Elephas maximus indicus: one gene and its partner. The protein of the gene in region 1 interacts with the protein of each later gene in a biochemical or structural test. Links are inferred from orthologs where the notes say so. Each region holds a gene or a part of one and is shown on either strand. Other genes may lie near its edges.

The links. The genes of interacting proteins can lie anywhere in the genome.
Region 2: the proteins of ARF6 (region 1) and CYTH1 form a complex in vitro, tested with the Homo sapiens proteins (2 studies listed by BioGRID and IntAct, with this or other methods). The link is inferred for Elephas maximus indicus from reciprocal best matches to the Homo sapiens genes ARF6 and CYTH1.

What each region holds. Positions count from the first base shown.
Region 1 is NC_064828.1:62,171,519-62,179,081, forward strand, and holds the start of ARF6 (ADP-ribosylation factor 6), read left to right. Parts: upstream 1-4,555; 5' UTR 4,556-4,764; coding exon 4,765-5,292; 3' UTR 5,293-7,563. UniProt on the Homo sapiens protein: GTP-binding protein involved in protein trafficking that regulates endocytic recycling and cytoskeleton remodeling. GTP-bound form plays an important role in the transport of multiple palmitoylated proteins form the Golgi to the plasma membrane.
Region 2 is NC_064837.1:68,622,766-68,630,751, forward strand, and holds the start of CYTH1 (cytohesin-1), read right to left. Parts: upstream 3,100-7,986; 5' UTR 1-3,099. UniProt on the Homo sapiens protein: Promotes guanine-nucleotide exchange on ARF1, ARF5 and ARF6. Promotes the activation of ARF factors through replacement of GDP with GTP.

The sequences.
Region 1 (7,563 bases):
TCTTTGCTTTGTTTAAGCCCACTGTTGCAGCCACTGTGTCAATCAATCTCGTTGAGGGTCTTTTTCGCTCTCTACTTTACCAAGCATGACGTCCTTCTCCAGGGACTGATCCCTTCTGATAACATGTTCCAGTACAAGAGACAAAGTCTTGCCATCCTTGTGTCTAAGGAAGATCCTGGATATACTTCTTTCAAGAAAGATTTGTTCGTTGTTCTGGCAGTCTATGGTATATTCAATATTCTTTGCCAACACCCTAATTCGAATGCATCAATTCTTCTTTGGTCCTCTTATTCATTGTTCAGCTTGGGTCAGGTGCACCTTAGTCTTCAAGGTGACGTTTTACTTTTTACACTTTGAGGAGGTCATTTGCAGCAGATTTGCCTAATGTGATAAGTTGATTTCTTGACTACTGTGAGACTGTCCATGACAGCCAAAGTACTACTTTGAGTATATCCCACCTGAATTTAGAGACCATCTCACTAACAAATTTGATGAAGACTAATGACCAAAGGTCAGCTGAGTTGTGGCATGACATCAAGGACATCATAAATGAAGAAAGCAAACCAAACAAAAAACCAAACCCATTGCCGTCAAGTCGGTTCTGATTCGCAGTGACCCTAACGTCATTAAAAAGACGGGAAAGAAAGAAAAGACCAAAATGGATGTCAGAAGAGACTCTAAAACTTGCTCTTGAATGTAGAGTAGCTAAAGTGAATGGAAGAAATGATGAAGTAAAAGAGCTGAACAGGAGATTTCAAATGGCAGCTAGAGAAAAGTATTATAATGAAATGTGCAAAGACCTGGAGATAGAAAACCAAAACAGAAGAACATGCTCAACATTTCTCAGGCTGAAAGAACTGAAGAAAAATTTCAAGCCTCACATTGTAATACTGAAGGATTGAGCTATAGGAATTCCAAAATAGGGGTAAACAGTCAGGGGTGCTGTTATTAGAGAAGATTCATTCTTGAATTTAAAAACAAATTATTCATTTATTTATTTTGGTGAAAATATACACAACATACTGTACTTCTACAATTTTTACATGTAATTCAGTGACATCGATTATATTCTTCAAATTCTGCCACCTTTCTCAACAACCTTTTCCAAACCATTTCACCATCATTAACACAAACTCACTGCCCCCTAAGCTTCTCATCTATCTTTTCTAGTTGCTGTTGTCATTATTCATTTTAAAATCAGAAAGCAAAGCCATTTTTAAAAAGTAAATATTTTTCTTATAAGCTGGTATTTTAGTCAGGATGTCTTAAGCTTAAGCATATTTTATGTGGATGTCAGATTAAAAATTACGAAATACGGCTTTCTATGGAAGTGTGGTTTGTAAGGAAGCTGGAGGAATCTCTTCATTTACAGACTTTGAAATAAAAGCATAGATCAATTTTTCCATAGTTAGCTTTTGGAACTTTGTTTTCAAAATTTAAAAACAGTGAAATAAAGCAAACTGAAAGGTATAATATTTTGTTCCATAAATGCCGATTTTAGTTTATCTATATTTTACCAAAAGGAAATATGTTTAAAACTGAAATTTAGTCTTTTAAAATTGTAATAACTTTAAAACTAAAGAAGAAATCAACAAAAGGTTACATCAGTGCTATGATTTAGTAGTTGTCAAAACTTACCTCTTGCAGAAGTTCTGGTTTCATTAAAATTCACTTGGTTTTTTTTTTTTTTTTTAACTGGCATGATTTTACATACAATGTTCAATTTTTTTGATGTATTTACTTTCGGACCAGTGGTTAAGAGCTATGGCTGCTAACCAAAAGATCGGCAGTTTGAATCCACCAGCTGCTCCTTGGAAACCACATGGGGCAGTTCTAGTCTGTCCCACAGGGTCGCTATGAGTCAGAATCAACTAGGTGGCAATGGGTTTATTATTATTTATTGTGTGTTATCATTATTACTTAAAATAATTCACTGTATAATTTCTAGTATGATGATCCACTTTAGATATCTAAGATAAGCCACTATATGAAAAGCTTGTCAATTGACCTATTATTTATCATGAAAGTAGTCTGTGCCTTTCCTGTCTTGTTTTGCCTATCATAAAAGACATTAATTCATTTGAATAAAGATTTAGCTACTACTTACATGCTTTCTTCTAGTCACGGGGGCACTGTACTAAATGAGACAAAGTCCCTGTCTCTGTGAAGCTTGCATTCTGAAGAATATAAATGGGAAATGACTTTTAAAAATAAATTTTTTAGTTCTAGCACAGTGCCAGTGCCAGGTAGATGCTAGTGCTTCATTGCTTCTGTTTTTAGTTACATCATGTCCTCCACTAAAAAATAAAGGCTGTTCCTTAACTATACATCTATATATGTATATACATATACCAAGCCCAGCAGATCTCCTATTTGTAAAAACTGTAATTTGCTTTGAGAAAACTATTATGTTCAAATGGATCAAAATATAATACTTGGAACTATTTGCCTCATAAGAAAAAATTCTTCCCCCAAGTATGGCCATGGCTAATGGCACTTTATAAAGCACTTAAGAAATACTGTAACTGAGTCTCAAAACAACTGTGTGACAGAGGTAGGGAGATAGCACAATTTTTGGATTAAGAGCATGGACTGTGGATTCATGATTTAATCTCAGTTCTGTGACCTTTAAAAAATTACTTAACCTCTCTGACTCTCAGTTTCCTCATATATAAAATGTTAATACTCAAAGCTACCTCGTACGTGTGCTGTATTAAAATAAAATACAATATTTGAAGTATTTAGTACAGTACACTCGATAAATGGTGGCTATTTTTTATTCTCATTAGGGATAATATCTTAACCTGACTTTACAGGAAAACAAACAGTTCATAAAAGCTGAGACTTAAGGATTCATAGTTATGAAATGGAGGGGTGACATTCAAACTCCGATCCTCTGATTCCACATCCTTCTTCGTTTTATTACAGTGCCTCTTAAGACAAATATTAAGAAAATTAGATCACTGTTAGAATATTAATAACATTAATAAACTCATTTCATACTTAAGTTTATAAGGTTTTTAACCTATCTACCATCATTAATTTTCTTAAATTTTGAAATGTTAGCACATGCTACATTACAGCATGTTTATTAAAAAAACAAAACTATATTCCGGGTTTTTTCCCTTTAAAACAAGCAAACTGATCCACTGATTCCTACTCAGAGCGACCCTACAGGACAGAGTAGACAGAGCTGCCCCATTGGGCTGCCAAGGAACTGCTGGTAGATTCAACCGCCGACTTTCTGGTTACCAAGCTCTTAACCACTGCGCCACCAGGACTCGTTTTTCCCCTTGATTGGGAGTATTTACTTAGAAACCACTACTGATCACATAAAGGAGACATTTAAATACAAAAACTTTCAGCATCCTAAAAAAGTTGAAAGCGCGGCAAGGTACGGGAATTCAAAATGCTGTAATTTTTAAGAAACGTGGGCTGGTCCTGACGAGATCTGTAAGAGAGAAGTTTCAACCAGTCAAAAGAATGGTTTCAGAGCAAACGTAGCCCGGTAAAAGTGCAGCACTGACAGATTTCTGCATGAAACACTGACCTCCCACGTGTCTTTCAGAAAACACACAGAACACAAGAGATAAAGGAGAGGCCCGGAAGGAAGTAAAAACAGCGGATAGGGCTTCCCAGGGAGACGGAGGGTGCGCGGAGTCTGGGGCGGGATGAAGGGAACTTGGAGAGCATCTGGCGGGCACCGAGGTCTAAAAGGCCTGGAAGCGGCGTGGGGGAGGTGTTCTGTCGTGGGAGCGTTTCCCCGCGAGCCCCACTATGTGGAGTCCAGGTGGATTTACTCCCCTGGTTTGGGTAGAAGTGAGGAGGACAGAGCGCGGGAGAGAAAAGCGGAGAGACGAGGAGAAGTTAGACTAGTGACAGGGGGACGCGGACCAGAATCCAAGGTTCGCGGGCCTTCTGGCGGGCCGCACCCGCAAGGCCTCCGAGCTACCGTAGCCCCGCCTCCTCCAGCGAGTGGCGCCCATGACGCTAGGCGCGCGGGCCGCTCTTCTTACAGAGGTCGCTCTTGTCCGAACGGTCGGCCTCTGCTGCGCCTGCGTAGTTGGGAGGGGAAGTGAGGCGGTTTCCTCGGCGCCTTTTCCGGCGGTGGCGGCGGCAGAGCTGGGAGGAGGAGGTAGAGGCCGGAGCGAGCCCGCGCTCGGGGCGGCGGCTGGAGGTAACCCCCCGGGTTGAGCTGGAAAGGCGGGCCTCTCGGACTCCGCTCCCTTTCGGAGCCCGGGCAGTAACTTCGCTCTTCCTCTCTGTGTTTCTGCAGGCAGCGAACCGAGTTCCCGCGAGGATCAATGACCTGACGAGGCGCCGGAGCCGCACTGCCTCTCGGGTGGCCTGGGTCGGTGGGGAACTCGGTGCTTACGGACCTCGGGCGGCCGGAGAGCCTCAGTCTCCCGTGGCTGGGTGAGGAGAAGGCGGAGGAGCGGGAACCGCGGCGGCGCTGGTGCGGCGCCTGCGGGGGGAAGGGCAGTTCCGGGCCGGGCCGCGCCTCAGCAGGGCGGCGGCTCTCCCGGCGCAGACTCAGGGCCCCGGCAGCGGCGGCGACAGGAGGAGTCAGGGTGTTCGGTTGGGGATGCCCGAGTGAGCAGCGGGCCTGGGCCTCTGCCCTTAGGCGGCAACTCCCAGCGAAGGCCGCACGGGCGCCCTCGCGGCGGGGAGGCTTCGTTTCGTTTTCGCGGCGGCGGCGGCGGCGTTGTTGGCTGAGGGGACCCGGGACACCTGAATGCCCCCGGCCCCGGCTCTTCCGACGCGATGGGGAAGGTGCTATCCAAAATCTTCGGGAACAAGGAAATGCGGATCCTCATGCTCGGGCTGGACGCGGCTGGCAAGACCACGATCCTGTACAAGTTGAAGCTGGGCCAGTCGGTGACCACCATCCCCACCGTGGGTTTCAACGTGGAGACGGTGACTTACAAAAACGTCAAGTTCAACGTATGGGATGTGGGCGGCCAGGACAAGATCCGGCCGCTCTGGCGGCATTACTACACCGGGACCCAAGGTCTGATCTTCGTAGTAGACTGCGCCGACCGCGACCGCATCGATGAGGCCCGCCAGGAGCTCCACCGCATTATCAATGATCGGGAGATGAGGGACGCCATAATCCTCATCTTCGCCAACAAGCAGGACCTGCCCGATGCCATGAAACCCCATGAGATCCAGGAGAAACTGGGCCTGACCCGGATTCGGGACAGGAACTGGTATGTGCAGCCCTCCTGTGCCACCTCAGGGGATGGACTCTATGAGGGGCTCACATGGTTAACCTCTAACTACAAATCCTAATGAGTGTTCTCCACCCATTCCCCCGGAAGGAGAGATATCAAAAACCCATTCATAGGATTATCGCCACCATCACCTCTTTCAGTTGCCACTTTCTCTTCTTTTGAATTTGAACTCTGGAGTTACTGTTCTATGGTTGGGGGTGGCGTAAGGGTTTTCTTTTTGTTTTTTTTCCTTTTGCTTTGCCTTAGGATGCTCTGATCTGTCATTTGACATGAACACAAAAAGTGCTAGATGCTCTTGTTGACTTCCAGTAAATGGGGTGGGGGAAATATAGCAATTCTTGGTAAAGCCCTTTATAATAATGGTTTGATTTTTTTATTTCGAGAGAATCTTTTTTTCCAATGTATGCTTTTTTTCTTTTTGTTCAGTTTCCTTATCACTTGCTGTAGATGGCTTATTTTGCATTCATGCAGACTCTGTTGCAAGTCTGTTTCATCTAGTAAACTGAAAATTATTGCTTAATCAAACTGCCGTTTGTCTTTTATATTTAAGGCCTTTTTCCCTCCCTTATGAGTTCTGATTTTAACTTGGTAATTTCGAATGTGACCTTTTATATCTAAGACCAGTATAGTAAATCTAGCCCACAGTGGCAAATAATGAGTAATATCGTTGTAATATGTTCCAGTTGCACATCAGTATGTTAAACAGGTAATGTAAGAAGTTCTTTGAAACGTCAGCTATAAAGTTCTGAAACATACATCATGCATGAGTAGGGATAAAACCCAAGTTCCCCATAACAGCTAACTATGCTGCATTAGACTTTGAAAGTGTAACCTGTCACGGACACAGATCTTTTCACTGCAAAGCTAGCAACTTTGCTGTGTTTTCCCTTTTTTAACTTTGGACTTTCCAGAAATTGGAGCAATAATGGTGTATGCCACACACAGATGAAGTATTTGTAGATACTTTAAGTGACTTTTTGGCAGATCTGGAAAATATACTTTTTTCTTGTTTTGAACAGCTAAGACTAGTAGATTTAAAATACTTTGTTTGTTAATAAAGCATTTAACAATTCAAATTATATGCACATTTTACTTAAAAAAAAACACATTTCCTGTTTTCACATTACAGCAACTGATTAAGCTGAACATATAAATCATTTTTTTACACAAGAGTGATCAACATCTTCATGAATTAGAACACTGGAAAACATGTTTTATAAAAAGATAATTTTGTTAAATTGTAAAATTAACTCATGCAAGTAGTAAGTCACATATCTTGTTGGTTCAGTAATATACCATCTCCTTTAAGGAAGGAAATGATGTGTAGACTTAAGGAATGACAAAGGGAAAGTAGGATGAAGAGAAAGAACCTACAGATGACAATGAATGTAAACTTACTTTTGAAGGGTAAGCAGTGTGCTCACTGGTGATATTCAGATCCTAACAAGATTACTTGCTTAACTGGTTAGGACCAGTAACTAGGTTGTTGAGACCACTATGATAATAGTTTGAACCAGATGTTAATAATGCATGATAGAGAATTGTGAAGCAGCATTTGGTTCTTATATAGCCTTAAGGATTAATTTTAGAGATCCTCGAGGAATTAAACTTAGGGAACTTCAGAAATGAAGACTGAAAAGGCAGTATACAGGAAAAGGTTTTGTTAATGAGGGTATCTGCAGACTAAAATTGAGTGGGTTATCATGGTATAGTTGGACGGTATTGGTCCTTCACGCTTTGGCCATATTGTATAATGGAGCTTTTACCAAAGATGTATGAGAAACATAAAGTTACAAAAGATGAACTATTCACAGTAAAACTCTTGACAAACGTTTTCCTTAAAGCAGATGGGAAGAGGTGCTATATTATAGCCTCCTAATGGTGCAAAGGGATTTTTGAATTTAATGTGCAACTAAGGTATAAAGTGTTCAGTTTCACTTTAGTGGAAGTATGTAGAAATTAGGCTGACAGATGCATCTAAGAATATTTTGGTTGCCTTTAAAATTCCCAAAGCTCCATCATAAATTTAATTCTTAATGTTTTAAATGATTACATTTTAAGGTCTATGAACATGGACTATACAAATATCAATGCTGTAGGAACATCCTGAAACAAGACAAGCACAAAGGTATAAATGCCTAAACTGGAGGAAACTTGAAACCCTCATGTTAATTTTTAAATGTAGTATTTCTAACTTGTGACAGATTGGTAGGCAGCCATTTTTTGTGTGTGTGTCTTAAAATAAGTGGGGACAGTTAAAATTTTATACATCAAATGATGGGTTTTGAATGTTGCAGGTGAGATGTGGTTATTTTTGGTTTATTTGAAA
Region 2 (7,986 bases), on another chromosome or scaffold:
CTTTGCCCCAGTCTGACAGCATCTGGAGATGGCTAAGATGAAAATGTGCCAGCACATGATGGCTGAAAATGACACCGGAAAAAGAACACACAGATATTTATGAAATGCCCTAGGGAAAGGGTTTTTTTGCTTGTTTTTAAAGCCTGATATTTAATATCAGTCACAAAGTGGGAATTCGGAAGGAGTTGAAGAATGGGATTATCTACAAAAGCGAGGGCTGCGCTTAGGGACGCCACCAAGGAATGATAAAGTACCAGTCCTAGGCTGGAGGGGCTGAAGGCACAAGCACTGCTGAACGGAGGGGCCCACCTCGTAGAAGGATCCAGCTGACCCTCTGCTGCCTGGCAGGGAGGAGCCCAGGAGAAATGGCTTTGTCCTCACTCTCCTCCATCCACCAGGAGCAGAGGGCCAGGGAGCCTGCCGATCACTGTACACAGGCTGAGTCTACCTCGAGAGAGTGACTGGAGAAGGGGGTGGAACTGGAAGAGCAGAAGGAAAGTATCTGCACAATCCCGAAGTCAGAAGACAGGAGGAACCAGGTTTGTCACTACTGGAAAAGGGATGTAGGAACACGAAAAGGGCGCAGGCTAGAAAGAATCCCAAAGTGCCGGACTGGAATCAGAGGGATGCGTGTTTGTAACGGTTGATGATCTATACTGTACTTAGCCAGCTCTACCGCTGGACACGTACCTGTTGTTTCCATTATATCCTATGTGATGACATATAATCACATGTAACGTCGTTTCCATTATATCCTATGTAATGCTGCAGTACACTGTACCTTTGTGCTCTTCTCTGATTGGTTCCTTAGGCTAAATTCCAGAAGCAGACTTATAGGTCAAAAGATATAACCTATTTTAAGACTCATACATGCTATGAAATCAGTTTCTCAAATGTTTCCATTTTCCAGCTGTGTCTGAAAGCACTAGCCTCGCCACGACTTCATCCCCAGTGAGTATTATCATTTAAAACATTTGCCGACTTGATAGTCTCTTAACATTTATGCTGCTGATTACCAGTGATGTCAAAGCTCTTTCGTTGTGTTTATTTGGCGTGGGCATTTGTTCTTCTGTAAATTACTCGTAAGTGTTGCAATACAATCATGTAAATGTCTTAAAAACCCCTGGAAGGGCATCCGTAGGTTGGAACACACGGTGACAGAGGCTTGTCAATCCTCGGCAGGCAGAAACCTGAAAATACTGCAAAACACTTTTAAAGGTTTTGCAAAAAGGTTAAGCAGGAGGGCGGGGCCAAGGTGGCTTACTAGGTAAAAGCTACCTCGGATCCCTGCTGCAACAAAGACTCAGAAAAACAAGTGAATCGATCACATACATGACAATCTACGAACCCTGACCATCAAACACAGATCTAAAGAGTTGACCTGAGTGACAGGGGAGTGAAAAGCTGTGCCCTGAAGCAGCGACCACCTCTGGAACCTGCGTCCCACTCCACAGCCTTGAGCCCTCGCAGTTCCCTGGTGCCGAGTGGTGGGGCTGACTGCAGCTTGCTGAGGCGGGGCAGGCACGGGACACAGCCCTAACCCCTAGCTCCTTGGGGTAACCTCAGTAGAGACTCAGCCAGCACAAGCAGGCTGCACACTGACGCAGCTAACAAGAGAACGAGCAACCACAGGGAAGCAGCGACTGTTTTCAGAGCCTACAGCCAGCATCCCAGTCAGAAACCCTTGGTGCCAGGCTTTGGACCGGGCACAGGGGAGCTAAGCATGGCTTCCTGAGGTGGTGCAAACACGGGACGCAGCCCTAGCCCCCTGAAGTGACCTCGGGGGAAGCCCAGCCAGCGCATGCCAGCAGCGCAACAACGTGGCTGACAAGAGGAGAAGTCACCGGGAGGCGCTGGGCTTTGGACTGGGAGCGGAGGAGCTGACCACAGCTTCTGAGACAGCACAAGCACAGGAAGCCAGTCTGACCCTCGGGGGCAATCTCGACCCTGCCAGCACACATAGGCTACACGCCCCCCGTCCCTCAGGGAATCTCAGATAAAACAGTCATCGCCAAGCAAGATAAGTAACTTTGTCTATATTGCTGGGTGCTACTCTCTCCTATCTATCTGATCCCTACCCTCTCTGCCCCAGGTGGCTTCATTAACATTGGAATTTCCTGGGCCAGGGAGTGAAGTGCTCTGTGGTTTGTTTGTTTGTTTTTTTTTTTTTTTTTTTTGTCTTTTCCTAACCCATTCTCCTGGCCTGAGAGAAGCAGCTATTAAAAACCCAGGGATGAAAAATCCTTCCGTAACTTCCCTAAACTGGAATAAAAATACAGAACCAGTTCCAGCCAAGCATATGAGATCCACAGTCTTTGGCTTTCATCCCTACAGGGAACAAGGTGGCTATTATAATGCAAAGGCAATTCTAATAGAGATCTGACTGTAATTGTTTTAGTGGATCACTGGAAAGACAAGTTTTCCAGGTCTGATATCTCTACCTATTAAACAGAGCCCTCACTGATCCACAACAGGGAACTGAGGGCTGAAGCTCCACCCAAACCACCTAGCCACCTGCCAAAGGGGTCTGAGGATACTGACACCTACCAATCTTTAGAGGTACATGCATTGGGTGCCTAAGGTACAGCTGCAGAGCCCACCCACCAAAGTGCTTTAGGAATAGAGACACACCTACCGCACTGGCATGTGGGGGAAGGCTGTCAGCAACCAGCCCCCCTGGAGTGTGACCCCCTGTTGCTACTAGAATCTGGTGCACACAACTATCACCACTACTCCTCTAAGTTAATAGGTGACAGTCTACACCACACACTTGGTGACCCAAAATCAAAACACCTAAGCTGATTCTATTCAAGAATAGTGAATGGACTCTTAGGCTTACATATCTGGTAACAGCCCAAACCAGCCGGTAATAGAACATAAGCAATTCAAAGGCTACAACAATCAAGACAGTGCAATCTAGTAGCCCATCTGCATATAATGAAAGAAAACAAAATAAGATAAGACTCAGTGAGCAAATATAAATCATTACAATATCTTAGAGATAGCTCAGAGACAGCAGTTGATATCAAACCACATTAAGAAAAAGACCATGACTGCTTCTACAACTCCCCAAATTAAAGAATCAAAATCTTTCCCAAATGAAGATATAATCCTGGAATTGCCAGATGTAGAATATACAAAACTAATATAAAGAATGCTTCAAGACATCAGGGATGACCTCAGAAATGAAATAAGGAAATCTACAGAAAAAGCCAAGGAACACACTGATAAAGCAGTTGAAGAAATCAAAAAGATTATTCAAGAACACGGTAGAAAAACTAATAAGCTGCTAGAATCTATAGAGAGACAGCATTCAGGAATCCAAAAGATTAACAGTAAAATTACAGAATTAGACAACTCAGTAGGAGGTCGGAGGAGCAGAATCGAGCAATTGGAATGCAGAGTGGGGGAGCTGGAGGATAAGGCAATTGACACCAATATAGTTGAAGAAAAATCAGATAAAAGATTTAAAAAAATGAAGAAACCCTCAGAATCATGTGGGACTCTATCAAGAAGAATAACTTGCGTGTGATTGGAGTTCCAGGACAGGGAGGGGTAACAGAAAATACAGAGAGGATAGTTGAAGATCTGTTGGCAGAAAACTTCCCTGACATCATGAAAGACGAAAGGATATCTATCCAAGATGCTCATCGAACCCCATATAAGACTGATCCAAAAAGAAAATAACCAAGACATATTATCATCAAACTTGCCAAAACCAAAGATAAAGAGAAACTTTTAAAAGCAGCCAGGGATAAAAGAAAAGTCTCCTACAAAGAAGAATCAATAAGAATAACTTCAGACTACTCAGCAGAAACCATGCAGTCAAGAAGGCAATGGGATGACATATATAGAGCACTGAAGGAGAAAAACTGCCAGCCAAGGATCATATATCCAGCAAAACTCTCTCTCAAATATGAAGGTGAAATTAAAACATTTACAAATAAACGCAAGCTTTAGAGAATTTACAAAAACCAAACCAAAGCCACAAGAATTACTAAAGGAAATTGTTTGGTCAGAAAATCAATAATATCAGATACCAGCACAAGACAAGGTCACAAAACAGAACATCCTGATATCAACTCAAACAGGGAAATCACAACAACAAATTAAGATTTATTTTAAAAAGAAAAAAATGCTCAAAACAGGGAATCATTGAAGTCACTATGTAAAAGATCACAATAATCAAAAAGAGGGACTAAATACAGGAGGCATAGAGCTGCCATATGGAGAGGAAAACAAGGTGATATAGGACGATACAAGTTAGGTTTTTATTTAGAAAAATAGGGGTAAATATTAAGGTAACCACAAAGAGGTCTAACAATTCCATAAATCAAAATAAAAACCAAGAAAAACATAACAACTCAGCAAACATAAATTCGACTACTATGAAAATGGTGAATACACAACTTACAAAGAAAAACATCTCAGCGCAAAAAAGTGGAAAAATGAAATTGTCAACAACACACACAAAAAGGCATCAAAATGACAGCACTAAACTCATACTTATCTATAATTACGCTGAATGTAAATGGACTAAATGAACGAATAAAGAGACAGAGAGTCTCAGACTGGATAAAGAAACACGATCCGTCTATATGCTGCCTACAAGAGACATACCTTAGACTTAGAGACACAAACGAACTAAAACTCAAAGGATGGAAAAAAATATATCAAGCAAACAACAATCAAAAAAGAGCAGGAGTGGCAATATTAATTTCTGACAAAATAGACTTTAAAGTTAAATCCACCACAAAGGATAAAGAAGGACACTACATAATGATTAAAGGGACAATTGACCAGGAAGATATAACCATATTAAATATCTACACACCCAATGACAGGGCTGCAAGATACATAAAACAAACTTTAACAGAACTGAAAAGTGAGATAGACAACGCCACAATTATAGTAGGAGACTTCAACATACCACTTTCGGAAAAGGATAGGACTTCCAGTAAGAAGCTCAATAGAGACATGGAAGACCTAATTGCTACAATCAACCAACTTGACCTTGTAGACTTATACAGAACGCTCCACCCAACAGCTGCAAAGTATACTTTTTTTTTTCTAGTGCACATGGAACACTCTCTAGAATAGATCACATATTAGGTCATAAAACAAACCGTTGCAGAATGCAAAACATCGAAATATTACAAAGCATCTTCTCAGACCACAAGGCCATAAAAGTGGAAATCAGTAACAGAAAAATCAGGGAAAAGAAATCAAATACTTGGGAACTGAACAATACCCTGCTCAAAAAAGACTGGGTTATAGAAGACACTAAGAAGGGACTAAAGAAATTCGTAGAATGCAACGAGAGTGAAAATACTTCCTATCAAAACCTCTGGGACACAGCAAAAGCAGTGCTCAGAGGTCAATTTATATTGATAAATGCACACATACAAAAAGAAGAAAGAGCCAAAATCAGAGAACTGTCCCTACAACTTGAACAAATAGAAAGCAAGCAACAAAAGAAGCCATCAGGCACCAGAAGAAAACGAATAATAAAAATTAGAGCTGAACTAAATGATTTAGAGAACAGAAAAACAATTGAAAGAATTAACAAAGCCAAAAGCTGGTTCTTCAAAAAAAGTTAACAAAATTGATAAACCATTGGCCAGACTGACTAAAGAAATACAGGAAAGGAAACAAATAACCCAGATAAGAGATGAAATGGGCCATATCACAACAGACTCAACTGAAATTAAAGGAATCATATCAGATTATTATGAAAAACTGTACTCTAACAAATTTGCAAACCTAGAAGAAATCGATGTATTCCTAGAAAAACACTACCTACCTAAACTAACACAATCGGAAGTGGAACAACTAAATAGATCCATAAAAAAAAAAGAGATTGAAAAGGTAATCAAAAAACTCCCAACAAAAAAAAGCCCTGGCCCGGACAGCTTCACTGCAGAGTTCGCAAGGTTGGTTCAATATTAGAAATACTATTAATGTAATCTACCATATAAATAAAACAAACAACAAAAACCACATCATCTTATCAATTGATGCAGAAAAGGCATTTGACAAAGTCCAACACCCATTCATGATAAAAACTCTCAGCAAAATAGAAATTGAAGGAAAATTCCTCAGCATAATAAAGGGCATCTATACAAAAATTTTTTTTTTATACAAAGCCAACAGCCAACATCATTCTTTTATACAAAGCCAACAGCCAACATCATTCTAAATGGAGAGAGCCTGAAAGCATTTTCCTTGAGAACGGGAACCAGACAAGGATGCCCTTTATCACCGCTCTTATTCAACATTGTGCTAGAGGTCCTAGCCAGAGCAATTAGGCTAGACAAAGAAATAAAGGGCATCCGGACTGGCAAGGAAGAAGTAAAATTATCTCTATTTGCAGATGACATGATCTTATACCCAGGAAACCCTAAGGAATCCTCCAGAAAACTACTGAAACTAATAGAAGAGTTTGGCAGAGTTTCAGGTTACAAGATAAACATACAAAAATCACTTGGATTCCTCTATATCAACAAAAAGAACATCGAAGAGGAAATCACCAAATCAATACCATTCACAGTAGCCCCCAAGAAGATAAAATACTTAGGAATAAATCTTACCAAAGATGTAAAAGACCTATACAAAGAAAACTACGAAGTACTACTGCAAGAAACTAAAAGGGACCTACATAAGCAGAAAAACATACCTTGCTCATGGATAGGAAGAGTTAACATAGTAAAAATGTCTATTCTACCAGAAGCCATCTATATATACAATGCACTTCCGATTCAAATTCCAATGACATTTTTTAATGTGATGCAGAAACAAATCACCAACTTCATATGGAAGGGAAAGAAGCCCTGGATAAGTAAAGCATTACTGAAAAAGAAGAAGAAAGTGGGAGGCCTCACTCTACCTGATTTTAGACCATATTATACAGCCACAGCAGTCAAAACAGCCTGGTACTGGTACAACAACAGGCACATAGACCAATGGAACAGAATTGAGAGCCCAGATATAAATCCATCTACATATGAACAGCTGATATTTGACAGAGGCCCAGTGTCAGTTAATTAGGGAAAAGATAGTCTTTTTAACAAATGGTGCTGGCATAACTGGATATCCATTTGCAAAAAAATGAAACAGGACCCATACCTCACACCATGCACAAAAACTAACTCCAAGTGGATCAAAGACCTAAACATAAAGACTAAAACGATAAAGATCATGGAAGAAAAAAATAGGGACAAAGCTAGGAGCCCTAATATAAGGCATAAACAGAATACAAAACATTACTAAAAATGACGAAGAGAAACCAGATAACTGGGAGCTCCTAAAAATCAAACACCTATGCTCATAAAACTCAACCACAAAAAGATAAACAACCCAAATAAAATTGAAAGACAAACAACCCAATTAAAAATTGGGCAAAGGATATGAACACACACTTCACTAAAGAAGATATTCAGGCGGCGAACAGATACATGAGAAAATGCTCTCGATCATTAGCCATTAGAGAAACGCAAATTAAAACTAGGATGAGATTCCATCTCACTCCAACAAGGCTGGCATTAATCCAAAAAACACAAAACAATAAATGTTGAAGAGGCTGTGAAGAGACTAGAACTCTTATACGCTGCTGGTGGGAATGTAAAATGGTACAACCACTTTGGAAATCTGGCGTTTCCTTAAAAAGTTAGAAATAGAACTACCACACAACCCAGAAATCCCACTCCTCGGAATATATCCTAGAGAAATAAGAGCCTTTACACGAACAGATATATGCACACCCATGTTTATTGCAGCACTGTTTACAATAGCAAAAAGATGGAAGCAACCTAGGTGCCCATCAACAGACGAATGGATAAATTATGATCTATTCACAATGGAATACTACACATCGATAAAGAACAGCAATGAATCTGTGAAACATTTCATAACATGGAGCAACCTGGGAGGCATTATGCTGAGTGAAATTAGTCAGAGGCAAAAGGACAAATATTATATAAGACCACT